Coturnix japonica: one gene and its partners. The protein of the gene in region 2 purifies or fractionates together with the protein of the main gene of each other region. This does not show direct contact. Links are inferred from orthologs where the notes say so. Each region holds a gene or a part of one and is shown on either strand. Other genes may lie near its edges.

Region 1 (4,144 bases), on a different chromosome or scaffold from region 2:
GCAAGGGGCTCAGTTTGGTGTCTCCATTGCTGCAGGAAGGACTCAGGGAGCAACGGTGTGCTGGGCTCAGAGGTGTTGCGGTTTGCAGGAGGGAGGGAGCAGGGGATGAGCTCCTCTCCCTCTCCCTCTCCCTCTCCTCTCCTTTTTCCTTCCCCTTCCCCTTTTTCCTTTTTCCTACCTTTGGGCAGAAGGCTTTGCCCTCACACTGTACATGGTGTGGGAGCACATCCCCAGGTTGTCACCCCAAGGGTACCCAGGTGTCAGCATGCCCAGCTATCACTTGGGGTGCCCAAGCTCAAGGCTTCACCCTGATCCCTGTCCCCACCAGGGACAGCCATATGCCAGAAGGATGACTGACGAGGGACAAGCAGTGCCCTGGCAGCTGTGCGGAGCCTTCAGAGATTATTCCTGGAATTTTGCTCCAGAGGAGCAGATTTCCTCCTGGGATGGGGCAGGCACTGGGGGGGAGTGGGAGGGAGCAACACACCCAGCACCAGGGCTTTGCACCCAAACCATGCAAGACTTCCCCCTGTTGCAGTGCCACGCTGCAGCACGTCCCCACTCTTCCTATGCCCACGGCTGTCTCCTGTGGGCCCCAATCCTGCCATCACCTCCCTGCGCCCCATGTCACTGCTGGGGGCTGCAGCTCCGCTCCCAGCCCAGCGCAGCGGGATCTTGCGTAACGCTGTGCTACAACACCCAGGCACTGCGGGCGGGTGAGGCGAGGACAGGGCTGCACCGTGCATTTCCTGGCATGGGGAAGTTGACGTCAGCTCGTGCTCTTCTAACATCGAATTTCCTTACAAACACCAATTGCAAAGTTGGGCTGGGGGAGGACTGAGCCCCCCCACGCCGCGCTGCTGCTACAGCCGCTGGAAGGGCTCTGGTACAGACACCCCGGTGCCCTGCTCCAATGCAAAGTCTCGTACACGTTTAGTTTTCTCTGCACGTGAACAAATGGAGCGCCGCAGTCACGCGCAGCCCAACGCAGCCCCCACAGCTGCAGCTTTGTAGGATGTTGGCTTCAGCGCGGGATCCTGCACGAGGTGCAGCTGTGTCAGTGATGCCCCACACACTCACACTCACACTCACACTCACACTCACACTCACACTCACACTCACACTCACACTCACACTCACTACCTGGTGGAGAGAAACGCAGTGATTGGAAACGTCTCGGAGCAGGAGCCGGGATCAGCGGGTCACACCGCGGGGCGGGGAAAAGCTCTGATTTGCATACCGCCTCCACTCCGGCCAATGAGAAAGCGTTGCGGGCGGTGTGGAGCAGACGGGCGGACGAAGCTACCAATGGGAGATGGGGAGAGGGGCGGGGCGAAGCGACGGGGAAACCCGGCCGGCGCGGGCGCGCGATGCCACTTCGGAGCCGAGCGGTGGCGGAGCGCGGGCGGCAGCAGGTGGGGCTGGGATGGGGGTGATGGGAGCAGCATCACGCGTGGGGCCGGGATGGGGGTGATGGGAGCAGCATCACGCGTGGGGCCGAGCCGTGTCGGTTGTGGAGTGTGGAGAGGGGGGAACGGAGCGTTACGCCCACGGAGGGGGCGAGGGAGGGACTGAGGTCCGTAGCGCTGCGCCTTTGGGTGCGCTCCGCTCGTGCCCACGGAGCAGCGCATCCCTCGCGGCAGAACCGGAGTCGGACTGAGATCGAGTTTGAGATTAGGATCGGGATTGGGGTTCGTCTGGCGACTGGGACCGGGATTAGGATTGCGATTGGGGCTGGAATCAGGATTGGGATTAGGATCGGTATTAAGATTGGGACCAGGATTACAGTTGGGATGAGGACCGAGGCCCGTCGGTACTGCAGTGTCCAAAGAGGGGATTTATTCTCAGTCAGAAAATGAGGCTGCTGCGCGGTGAGGATTTAATGAGTTTCCTAATGGCATTGACCAAAAATACCCCCGAGTGCAGGCAGCAACGTGCAGTTTTATTCAGGGCAGGTGCAGCAGCGTGGACAAAGTAAATGGGGCGTCTGGTTCAGATCCCACTGTTTCCTCTGCCTGTAGTGGTGTGGGTCTCCCAAATCATCTGGATTTTGTGTTTGTTTTTTCACCCAACCCACACCTGGCAGGATGTGCTGCTGTCACCCCAGCTGTCCCCTGGCTGTTCTGACCTATGGGAGTTACAAACTGTAAGGGGTAACCCAGGGTTGAGCCAAGTCAGTGTCCCCGTGGTGCTGTGGCAGGGGATGCCGTGTGAGTCCTGGACCCCATCGTGTGACATTACACTGCCTTGGTGGGCCAGGATGTGGGAGAAAGCAGGGAGAAAATAGAGTGGGAGTAGAAGATATGGGGTGGGAGGAGGAAATATGGGGCAGGAGGAGGAATGTAGGTTTCTGTGGAGGTGCTGGAGATAGTGATAGCTGCTGGAACCCTGGGAGGGAAAAGTGCACCCGATGGTGAGATAGTAGGGAGTGGCTCTGGATGCAGCCATGGGGTGAGCCTGGAGGTGGTGCTGGAAGAAGCCTCTGTGATGGCTGTGGTTTGGCTCCAGAGGTGGCCATGGGGCAGCCATAACAGGGCCCTGGAGGTGGCCACACATGGGACCCGGTGCTGGGGAACCCGCAGGACACGGGCTGCATGTTCCCGTGAGGTCCCCTCCCCTTGGGACGAGGAGGGACTGGGGTCAGTTCCCTGTGAGCAGGGGGAGAGCAGCACCCGAGATTTCTAGACAGCAGACCCCAAACCACCCTGCTGAGAACGCCCCTGTGCAATTAGGTGGGTTTTAATTGCAGCCAAGCAAAGGAGAAGGCTCACTAGGAAGCTTGGAGGTGCTCCACCTGGACACCCGGGCCTGCCCACCTTTGTTAGTTCCTCAAGGATAATTAGCTGCTAGATGAGCCCAGGGAGAGGCGGTCTCAAGTTTGGCCAATGCTTCCACCCCATTGTTCGGTGCTGATAAAGGCTTTGCTGAGCTCTGAGCTGTGCCACTGCTTCTCGGCTAGTCACTTTCTATGCTAGTTACCACGGGAGTCTGTGTGCTGCAAGGAGGTGGGGAGATGCATTCCAAAAGCATCCCTGGGCACCTGCATAGCGCCTTGTGTCAATCTTTAACCCCCAGCACAGGGAGAACACCGGGAAACACTGCCCAGATAGGAGCAGACCTGCTTAGGAGCTGCAGAAATTGGGGGTAAGGTGCTGCTAGTGGTGTGTTCTGCAAAGTGGGGAATCTCCGGAGCTCTGTGAAGGAGCTGCTCGCAAACAGTAGTGCTGCTTGTGGAGAATTGCCCTAATTAAAGGTATTCCCACTTCAAGGAGTTTTTAAAATTTACGTTAGTTGCTTAATTAAATCAAACTAGCCCTTGGCAGTGTTGTCTTGGTTGCCAATAACAGTGTTTCTGGCTGTCAGCGCAGTGTGCACTGTTGGTGTGTGCATCACTGGTTTGTGCATACTGGTGTGTGGTTGCACACGTGGTTGTGCACACGTGGGGTATGCATTTGTATGCATAAGTGGCTGTGCACATTGTGCATGCACGTGTAGTTGTGCACATTTGCATGCGTGTGTAGCTCAGCAGAGGTCCTCAGAACCTGCTCTTGCAGAAGCTTCCTTGCATCTGACTGCACCTTCACCTGAGCACTGCTTTGTGCAGGCAGAGGTGGAGGTCTGTGCCCCATACAGGTGTGCATGGATTGATGTTCTGGGATTTCACTCTGTGCTCTCAAAATGCTGCTGAGGATGTAAGTGATGAAATAGAGCCCCCTATTACTGGAGAGCTGCTGCAGTTGAGGCTCACCTGGCTGAAAGGAACCGGTGCACTGCAGAAAGCCCTCTGTTACAAGCACTGAGATGTCTTTATCAAAATCTAATGTTCTTTCCTGAATTTATCCAGAAGAAAACTCTAACTTGGAAGAGACCTGGCGTACGGGAAATCCCTTGCTTACCCCATGCTATAGTGACATGTGCTCCTCATGCATGGGGATGTGGTGCAGCAGGGATGCAGCAGCAGAGCCCAGTTAAGTTTGTTCCGTGGCCTGCAGGCTGTGTTTTGGTGTGCAAACAGGAGCAAATGTGTTGTTTTTTTCAGCCTGGAAGGAAATGAGACCACGTTCCCCTCTGTTGTGTGAGCAGCGATGAGCTCGTGGCAGCTCTGCTGCCCACAAAGCGGAGATTTACAGATACCCACTGATGT
Region 2 (3,626 bases):
ATAAAAACTATTTCTGACAGTTTGCAAGCAAGAAAGTTACAGCGAGGCTTGTATTGTACTATCTACAGTAATTTGAATGCATACCTGAATAATGTATATTTTCCCTCTGCTTCAAATTTATCTATGAACAATTGCAAAATACTCAAACTCTTCTTTCTCTAAAAAAACAATCATATATGTATTAAACGCTAATAATAACAAAAATAACATTATATGATTCATTCTAATTAAACTCAGTACATAAATCATTCTGTAGGTCACATTACATACCAGATGCTCTATGGGACAAAGGGTCATAACTTTCACCAAATCCTGCAGTTAGACAAAGAAACTGTAATTACGTGCACATTATTACATCACTTTGAACAAAATCTGATCAAGGTATTAACAAACAAGCCAGGCCACTAACAGTTGAATCCAAATAAAAAAGCAGCTGAAGTAGCAAGAGCCACCTAAAGTATAATTTGTCATTATAACTTCATGCCGCAGTGTGTATCAGAGGATAAACAATTCAGTGTAGCATGCAATTCAGTACAGCATGACACTGTAGGTTTCAGTCTGGCAACACAACTGCATGAAGGTTCAGTAGCACATCCTCCCTCCAGCGCTTAGAAAACAACTGGGTATGGTTTATTATCAACTACAAAGGCAGTTCTGTACACTGCTTCTTGTTACCTGAGGCACATTAATAAATTCTCTGAATTCCAAATACTGATGAAGAAGGCCATTATCTTCCACTCTCAATAAACAGCTCTCAAACAGATCCTGAAGGTGGGAAGGAAAAACAAACACTTTGCATATATACAAGACATTGATCTGTATGCTTAATATTTCATAGATAGAACTACCTTTAGTACAATTCACATATTTGGATCTCCCAGGAGCTACAAATTTAAGTAGTAATGGTAGTTTACATGTATGCAAATGTGTGTAATGTTCAGTAAATTATTTTAAATGGTTGTAAGACTGAAGAACATCTAAGCCTCAAAATACTTCTGAAACTGAAAAGGTATGAAAAAAATTCATACCTTTCTAAGAAAGAGAAACTAAGGTTTTACAATACTAAAATTGAAAATAATCAGCATTCTAACAATGAACATGTGATCAAAGGAAAAGTAAACTTACAAGTCCTTTAGATAGCATAGATTCTTCTGTTCTGTAAAGAAAAAGACATCAAGTTGTAAATTAAGGAGACAATAATGATCTTTGATGTGAAATAGTAGATTACAAGAAGTAACTTGGCTGTTAACCATTTTCATTCTGATTTCTAAACACGATGTCTTCTTTTAGTCTCTCAAAAACCTTTTACAATATATTGAGTATATATAATTAATAAAAGCTGCAAATTAGACTCCTTTCTTTAGGGTAAGAACTGCTTAGTTGTTTTCCCGTCTTAATATCTGTGAGGTAGCAGCTCATATCCCACAGGTATCAAGATATTAATTAACAACGAAAATAAAACTTGTTCCAAATTGTTCTATGTGCAGAGATAGCTCTGTGAGACAAAGAAAAACACACCAAATCCTAAAAAGAAGAGGCCAAGAAGTTTTGTTTTACTAGGAAATAATAAGGAGTCATAATCAGAAACTTCTCCCTTCTACAGCAATGCTAGAAAATATTTGGTCAACATTGCTACTAATGGAAGGCAAAATAAACATACAGAGAAGCTTGGTTTCCTCTAGAAAGACAGACCTCTAATCAGATAGTGCTTACCTGAATGTATTCTGATATGATACACAATCTTATACTCCTAGAGAGTATACAGAACTACAAATAAATATACACTAATTATTCTACCTTAATTTTGAACTCCTGAATAAATTTTCTAAAAAGAATAGATGTGTGTTTTAGACAATTTGCTAAAGCTCTTAGAAAAAGAGAATATCACCTTGTCACAGAGCTTGCAATTTTAACTGACAGCTTTAAGGATCACCTTTGAACTTATTTGGCATAATCAGAATTTGATTCTATGAATTATTAGAAAAGACCAGAAATAAAACATAGGACAAAAATTTCCCTCTACTATCTGGAGCTCCAAATATCATATAATCCTACCTTTTCAGCAGCACTTCTATATGTGTCATATTGCACTGCAGAAGGTACGAAGAACTAAAAAAGAAAGTTAGGTCTATATTAAAGTGCATAAGCATTTTCACAGCTAATCCATTTGAAAGCATTAGTCCTTCTGGAAAAACCTATAGAAGTGTATTTACAAAACTAAAAGTTCTGAGATAGGTGCAAAGCACAACATCCAATTTCTGTTTATAATTCATATCTGGCATCTGTCTACATAATTGTAATACAAATTAATTTTCAGTGTAAGACTAATCCTATCAGTTTATTTAAAAGGTCAACTCATCTACAATCAAACTGTAGTAATCTGCAGAACTGCTGAACTACATAAAGCTGCCACAAAACTAAAATTGGTGAAATACAGTTTTCATTAATGGCTATTAAGAATAAAATAGTTTTATTTTGTTCAGAAGTTTCCAAGTGCAAACTTAATGTAAGTGAGGAAGAACAGCTCTTACCTAAATACCACTGGTAAGCAATTGATACCAAAATGCTGAACAAACATCAGGTATGACAGACATGCCAAAGAATCTGCAGAATTCTTTTGCTCTACGTCCTCAAACTCCTGATTCTCCCAGTATGATCTTCTCCTTTTATGATGTAAAAACACTAGTGGCATTAATTCTCTCATATCCAGCAAAATGCCCTAAAAAAGAAAGTTAGATTTCACTTCATTGCCTTTAAAAATCTGTATGTTTAATAAATTACAAAGCTTAAACAGTCTTTACAGTAAAATACCCTAAGTAGGATATGTAGAAATCACTATAAATATTTTGTTAATATTTATGATACATACACAAATAAAAAACCTTATGGGAAAAACAAACTGTCAGAAAAGTGCTAAGACAGCAAAGTCAAGCACTCAAAAATTAGCAAAACACTTCACAAAAGTCACACTGCAAAACCTAATCTGGCTCCATTACCTATAGATGCTGTGAATAATAATGGCCTCCCGACCACATTATGCCACAAGACTTTTGTTTTTCACAGAGTACTCAGTATTTTGCTCTCTGACTATTAACACTATGCAACATGATGTTCACCTGCCAAAGGCAAGGCCTGTTTTAAAGTTAGAATTGTTCTGTATGGCCTTTCCAGCAACTCACAGCAGGAAGACACTGGAGAACTTCACAACTACGTGTGTTCTTTTCCCCAACACATCTGTGTGGATTAAGAGTTAATGTAATTTCTACTGTATGAATTATAGAGAAGCAGAGGTTAATCCATCCTTCCACTGCTGTCCAAACCAAATATCCAAGGCCTGACATTCTGGAGAATAAGAATTACATCAGATGTCACGTACTTAAATGCATCTTTACCGACCTTAGCCACAGTACTCATTAACCAATTCCACAAAGAGCAGAAGTGGATTTCTTGAGAAAACAAAGAAAAAGTAATTCATAATTAGCATAATAAATGTTTTCGGACTGTGCCCAATGGGAAAGGCAGGGATAAAAGCCCGTTTTTCAGAGCAGCCTTAACTATCTTAACCTTTCTATCATATTCTGGTAATCTCTGCCTCCATCACTGCGCATCTTAAAAGTTCTGCAATA
Region 3 (4,198 bases), on a different chromosome or scaffold from region 2:
ATCAATTTCCTAGAGATCGATGGGCAAGCAGTACTTATAGAGGCTGAAATCATGGACGTGAAAATGTAAATGCTAAAAAACTTCTTCACTGAATGTTGATTACCTTTCAGATCTAGTTTTGCCAGTAACACAAGCCTTAGAAAAGGCTTTAGCTGAATGCAAAGCAATTGCAAAAACAAACAAAGCAATCAACCAACATAAAATAAGCAATGGGAGGTTCATTCAGCTTAATCAGGTAGAAAAATAAACAAAAGGGGGAACTGGTGGGCCAAATAGACTAAGTGCAGTGGAATTCACTTCAGCACAACAGTGAATAAAGATTTCTCTGAAAGATATTTCCTTTGGCTATCTCCTTATGGATGGCACTGTTAAAGGCGTTACAGAGCAGGTTTACCATCCCCTATAAAATAAAACAAGACACAAAGCAGTTATTGAGTACAGGGGACCCACAATGAAAAAATCATCTCTGCATGGTCCAAAACTGAGGACATGTTTTGCTGCAATATATGTGAACAGGAGAAAGTAAAGCAACAGGGGGAAGAGGGACGCAGATCTGGAAGGTGACACAACTGAAAGTGAAGCAAGATGCCAAGTAATCTGCCAGAAGGCACAGCTGGGAAGGATTGCTGTTATTCAGAGACATTATCAAGTGATCAGGCCACCTGTTACTCCCCTCTGCCATCCCAGCCAGAATTCTTCCACTAGTGACCTACCTGTGCCGTGCGCATCTTATAACAGCTCTGAAGAAACTTGCCCTCATCCCCAGCTCTAACATCACCACAGTCCTCCAGCATGCGCACCCGCATGCCATGCACCAGGTTTGCCTTCAAATACTCCACGTAGCCATTCTGGTCAGCAAAGTCTGATGGGGTCAAGAAGACACAATTTTGCTTTTTCTGGCAACCATAGTTTGAAGAGAGCACAGGCACTCGGTTGGCAAGGCAGGCTGGGGTTGCAGGCTGGAAGATGGAGCGGGTGGGGCGAGGCTTCATCTCCTGCTGGGCCGGTGGCTCCGGCTTGTGGCTGTGGTCCCAGCCCATGACGCGCAACAGCTCCAAGATGAGGTTTGCCATAGCCATGCTGAACTCAAACTCCTGCTTTACACGGCTGCTCTCCTGCCACTCCTCGCTCTGCTCCTCGCCGCCGCTCAGCTTGTCCAGCAGAGAAGTGACGCACAGGTAGCGCTTCACCAGGGCAAACAGCTGCTTCCCGGGGATCTGCAACAGGCAGCACCGTCAGACTGCAGCTGGACGAGCAGCTCACGCCCTCACCAGCCCATCCATGGCTCTGCAATGGCTGCGTACCAGCAGGCAGCAACACAGCCCCCCTCGGCCCACCCTGCCCACAGGCAGGCTCTCCTCCTGCTTCCTCACCGCACCAGACCCTGTGCCAGCCCTCGCAATACCAGGTCCTGCTCAGCTGCCTACTGTCAACTACCCTTCTATCTCCAGCAAGCAGGACACCAGCCAGCTCTAGGGCCCCACTCTCATTTCTGCCCATTCCAGAGCTGGCAGGCCTTGCCACTACCTGGGGGAGATGGATCCCCTCAAAGGACACGCAGTGCTCCTCAGAGGACATCATCTCAGCAAACAGCTCCAGCAAGGTGTAACGGCCGTCAAAGTCCATGTGCTGCTCAATGCCATCCTGCTGGCTCAGAGACAGAAGGATATAGGCCCGAATCCCTGTAACAATAACAGACCATTCAGGTACCCTAATGAGCACTCTGATACCATCCTCCTTGCATCAGACAGACCTTGGAAGATCAGCAGGGCAGAGGAGCGGCTCCAGGCCAATGACAGCACGGAGCCACCAGCCCCGCTCGGCCCCGCTGCTCCCAAAGGCCCGGCGCCCTGCGCAGCAGCCCCCACCTGCGTCGTGCAGCGCCAGAGCCCTCAGCATCTCCGCGGCGCCGCGGCAGATCGGCTTCTCCCGGTGGCACAGCATCTCCGTCAGCAGCTCCAGGGCTCCCGTCTCCTTGAAGGCGCCCGCCAGCGCGCCGATGCCGGCGTAGGCGCTCAGCACGCGGACGGTGTGGAGGACGGAGGCCGCGGGGGTCCCGCCGCCGGCCAGCTGCCGCCCGGCTCGCCGCACCAGGCTCCCGACGTCGGCCTTCATCTCCAGCAGCGAGGCCTCGTCCGGCGGCGCGGGCGGCGGGCCGGGCGCCCTCTCCTCCTTCGCCCGCGGCCCCGCCCGCTCCCCCCCGCCCAGCAGCGCCGGGCAGCCGGCGCGGACCTCCTCCGCCGACAGCCACGTGGCCACGCTCTCCGAGCGGAGCCCCGCGGAGGAGCCGCCGCCGCCTCCCGCCGCCCGCTCCTCCGCGCCGACCACGCGCCACCGCACCAGGTACTCCGGGGCGCCGTCGGGGCCGCGCCGCTGCCGCAGCAGCTCGTGCGGGTAGGCCTGCAGCTGCGGGCCCAGCTGCACCAGCAGCCCGCCCTCCTGCCCGTCCTTCACCATCGTGCCGGACGGCGCTAAGGGAACAGAAGGGAGCGGGTCAGCATCTCCCAGCGACACCCTGCACAAATCACTGCTCCTGCACTCCTGCTTTCGCCCTTGTTATTCAGTGTCTGAGCGCTGACTGCAAGGTCACGCAGAGCTCAAGGCTTCATGCAGACGCTGCCTCTCGCTGTCGCACTGGAACCAACAAGAGTCACCTACACACGTTGCTCCCCATCCCCGCACACCTTCCCTCGTTCTCCCCGCCCTTCCCGGAGCAGCCCGATGCCCGCAGGCCGCTCTGCTCACCACGCGGCCCAGCTCCGCCTCCGGGCCGCCCCGCTCACCTCCGCCCGCCGCTCCGGCTCCGGGCCTGGCCCCACCGAGACCGGAGGGACGGATCAGAGCCGCTTCCGTGTCCGGCAATGCTCCGCCAGGCGCCTGCGCGATGCCGCCGGGCGGGGCGGGGAGATGGCACCGCCTGCAGCCGGGGCTGGGCAGTAGGGGGCTGTACGATAGTAGAAGGGCTGTGCAGTAGGGGGCTGTACAATAGGGGGCTGTACAGTAGAAGGGCTGTGCAGTAGGGTCTACCCAAGTTCCCCATTCATTGGCTGTATATTCCCTAATGCCCCTCCACCTGCAAAACACGGACAAGACTCCAGCTCTGTGCACAAAATGATAACATTTATTGAAAGAGTAATTTATTCTTTTTTTTTTTTTTTTTCCCATACAAAAGAAAGCTCTGTACATAGTACTGTGATTAACTTCCACATCCTTCCAGATACACGACCCTGGAAACTGGAGGGGAAAAAAGAATCCCACACGCACACACACACACCTATGCACGCACACACACACCCGCACACATGCACGCACACACACAACCCTCAAACCAGTAAAATGAATTAAAAATGTCACCACACAATAAATGCCGTTTCGTCCCTGATACACGAGTGTTCTTACAAGTCTGCACTTAAATAAAAGACACCATTAGCGTTTAACCAGCGGTTGCCTTTGGGGAGGAAGGGAGGAGATGCCCAGCAGGGCACTGCCATCGCAGCCCCATAGGGCCAGCACGAGCAAAGCAGAGCAAAGCACAGCCCTGGTAACGGGCTTGGGGCAAGGTTAACGCACACCCCAAGCTCTCTGCAGAGGTCATGGAAGGAACCCGGCCACATCCGTGCGCTAAAAAACAGCACAAGCTGAGGCTGTGGAGGGGGAAACTCCAGCCCAGCCCCTCAGCTGGGAGTTCAGGAGGTGCCACCTGCACTATGGGCAGGGAGAGCAGAGATAGGCTGCTGACAGCCCCTCATCTCCCAGGGAGGGCCGGGACATCCCAGCAGACAGCACAGTTAAACGCTAACGTGGAGGGAACATGTCCAAGGTTACAATACAAACTCAAAAGCAAGGCCCCTTCCTGCCTCCACGCCCACCCACCCCTCTCCCATCCCCCCGGTACAAACCCCATGAAAACTGTACAGGAGCCAAACTTTTATTCCTTAAAGTATTACATAAATACTGAGTTTAACACTTAGAAAAATAAAGTCATTTTCTTTTTTTTTTTTTTTTTTTTTTTTTTTTTTTTTTTTTTTTTTCCTTTTTTTTTTTTTTTTTTTTTTCCTCCCCCCAAGGCTTCTTTTGTCTTTAACTTAAAAAAAAAAAAAAGAAGTTACAGTAGCTGCTCCTACCCCTAAGGATGCAGCAGCTCCTTTGCTCACTCGCTCTCCCTGCAGGGCCAGGACCAGGCAGCAGCTCCCATGCA

What was found.
Region 1: the proteins of GLMN (region 2) and FKBP5 purify together in Homo sapiens (affinity purification with mass spectrometry; 3 studies listed by BioGRID and IntAct, with this or other methods). This does not show direct contact. The link is inferred for Coturnix japonica from reciprocal best matches to the Homo sapiens genes GLMN and FKBP5.
Region 3: the proteins of GLMN (region 2) and cullin-9-like purify together in Homo sapiens (affinity purification with mass spectrometry; 3 studies listed by BioGRID and IntAct, counting the BioPlex papers as one, with this or other methods). This does not show direct contact. The link is inferred for Coturnix japonica from reciprocal best matches to the Homo sapiens genes GLMN and CUL9.

Annotation. Positions count from the first base shown.
Region 1 is NC_029541.1:463,413-467,556, reverse strand, and holds the start of FKBP5 (peptidyl-prolyl cis-trans isomerase FKBP5), read left to right. Parts: upstream 1-1,309; 5' UTR 1,310-1,370; coding exon 1,371-1,415; intron 1,416-3,075; exon of another isoform or gene 3,076-3,253; intron 3,254-4,144. UniProt on the Homo sapiens protein: Immunophilin protein with PPIase and co-chaperone activities. Component of unligated steroid receptors heterocomplexes through interaction with heat-shock protein 90 (HSP90).
Region 2 is NC_029523.1:12,319,513-12,323,138, reverse strand, and holds part of GLMN (glomulin), read right to left. Parts: intron 2,720-3,626; coding exon 2,532-2,719; intron 2,110-2,531; coding exon 2,056-2,109; intron 1,157-2,055; coding exon 1,126-1,156; intron 766-1,125; coding exon 676-765; intron 313-675; coding exon 271-312; intron 159-270; coding exon 85-158; intron 1-84.
Region 3 is NC_029518.1:3,479,236-3,483,433, forward strand, and holds the start of cullin-9-like, read right to left. Parts: upstream 2,886-4,198; 5' UTR 2,784-2,885; intron 2,472-2,783; 5' UTR 2,458-2,471; coding exon 1,869-2,457; intron 1,683-1,868; coding exon 1,528-1,682; intron 1,218-1,527; coding exon 714-1,217; intron 1-713. UniProt on the Homo sapiens protein: Core component of a Cul9-RING ubiquitin-protein ligase complex composed of CUL9 and RBX1. The CUL9-RBX1 complex mediates ubiquitination and subsequent degradation of BIRC5 and is required to maintain microtubule dynamics and genome integrity.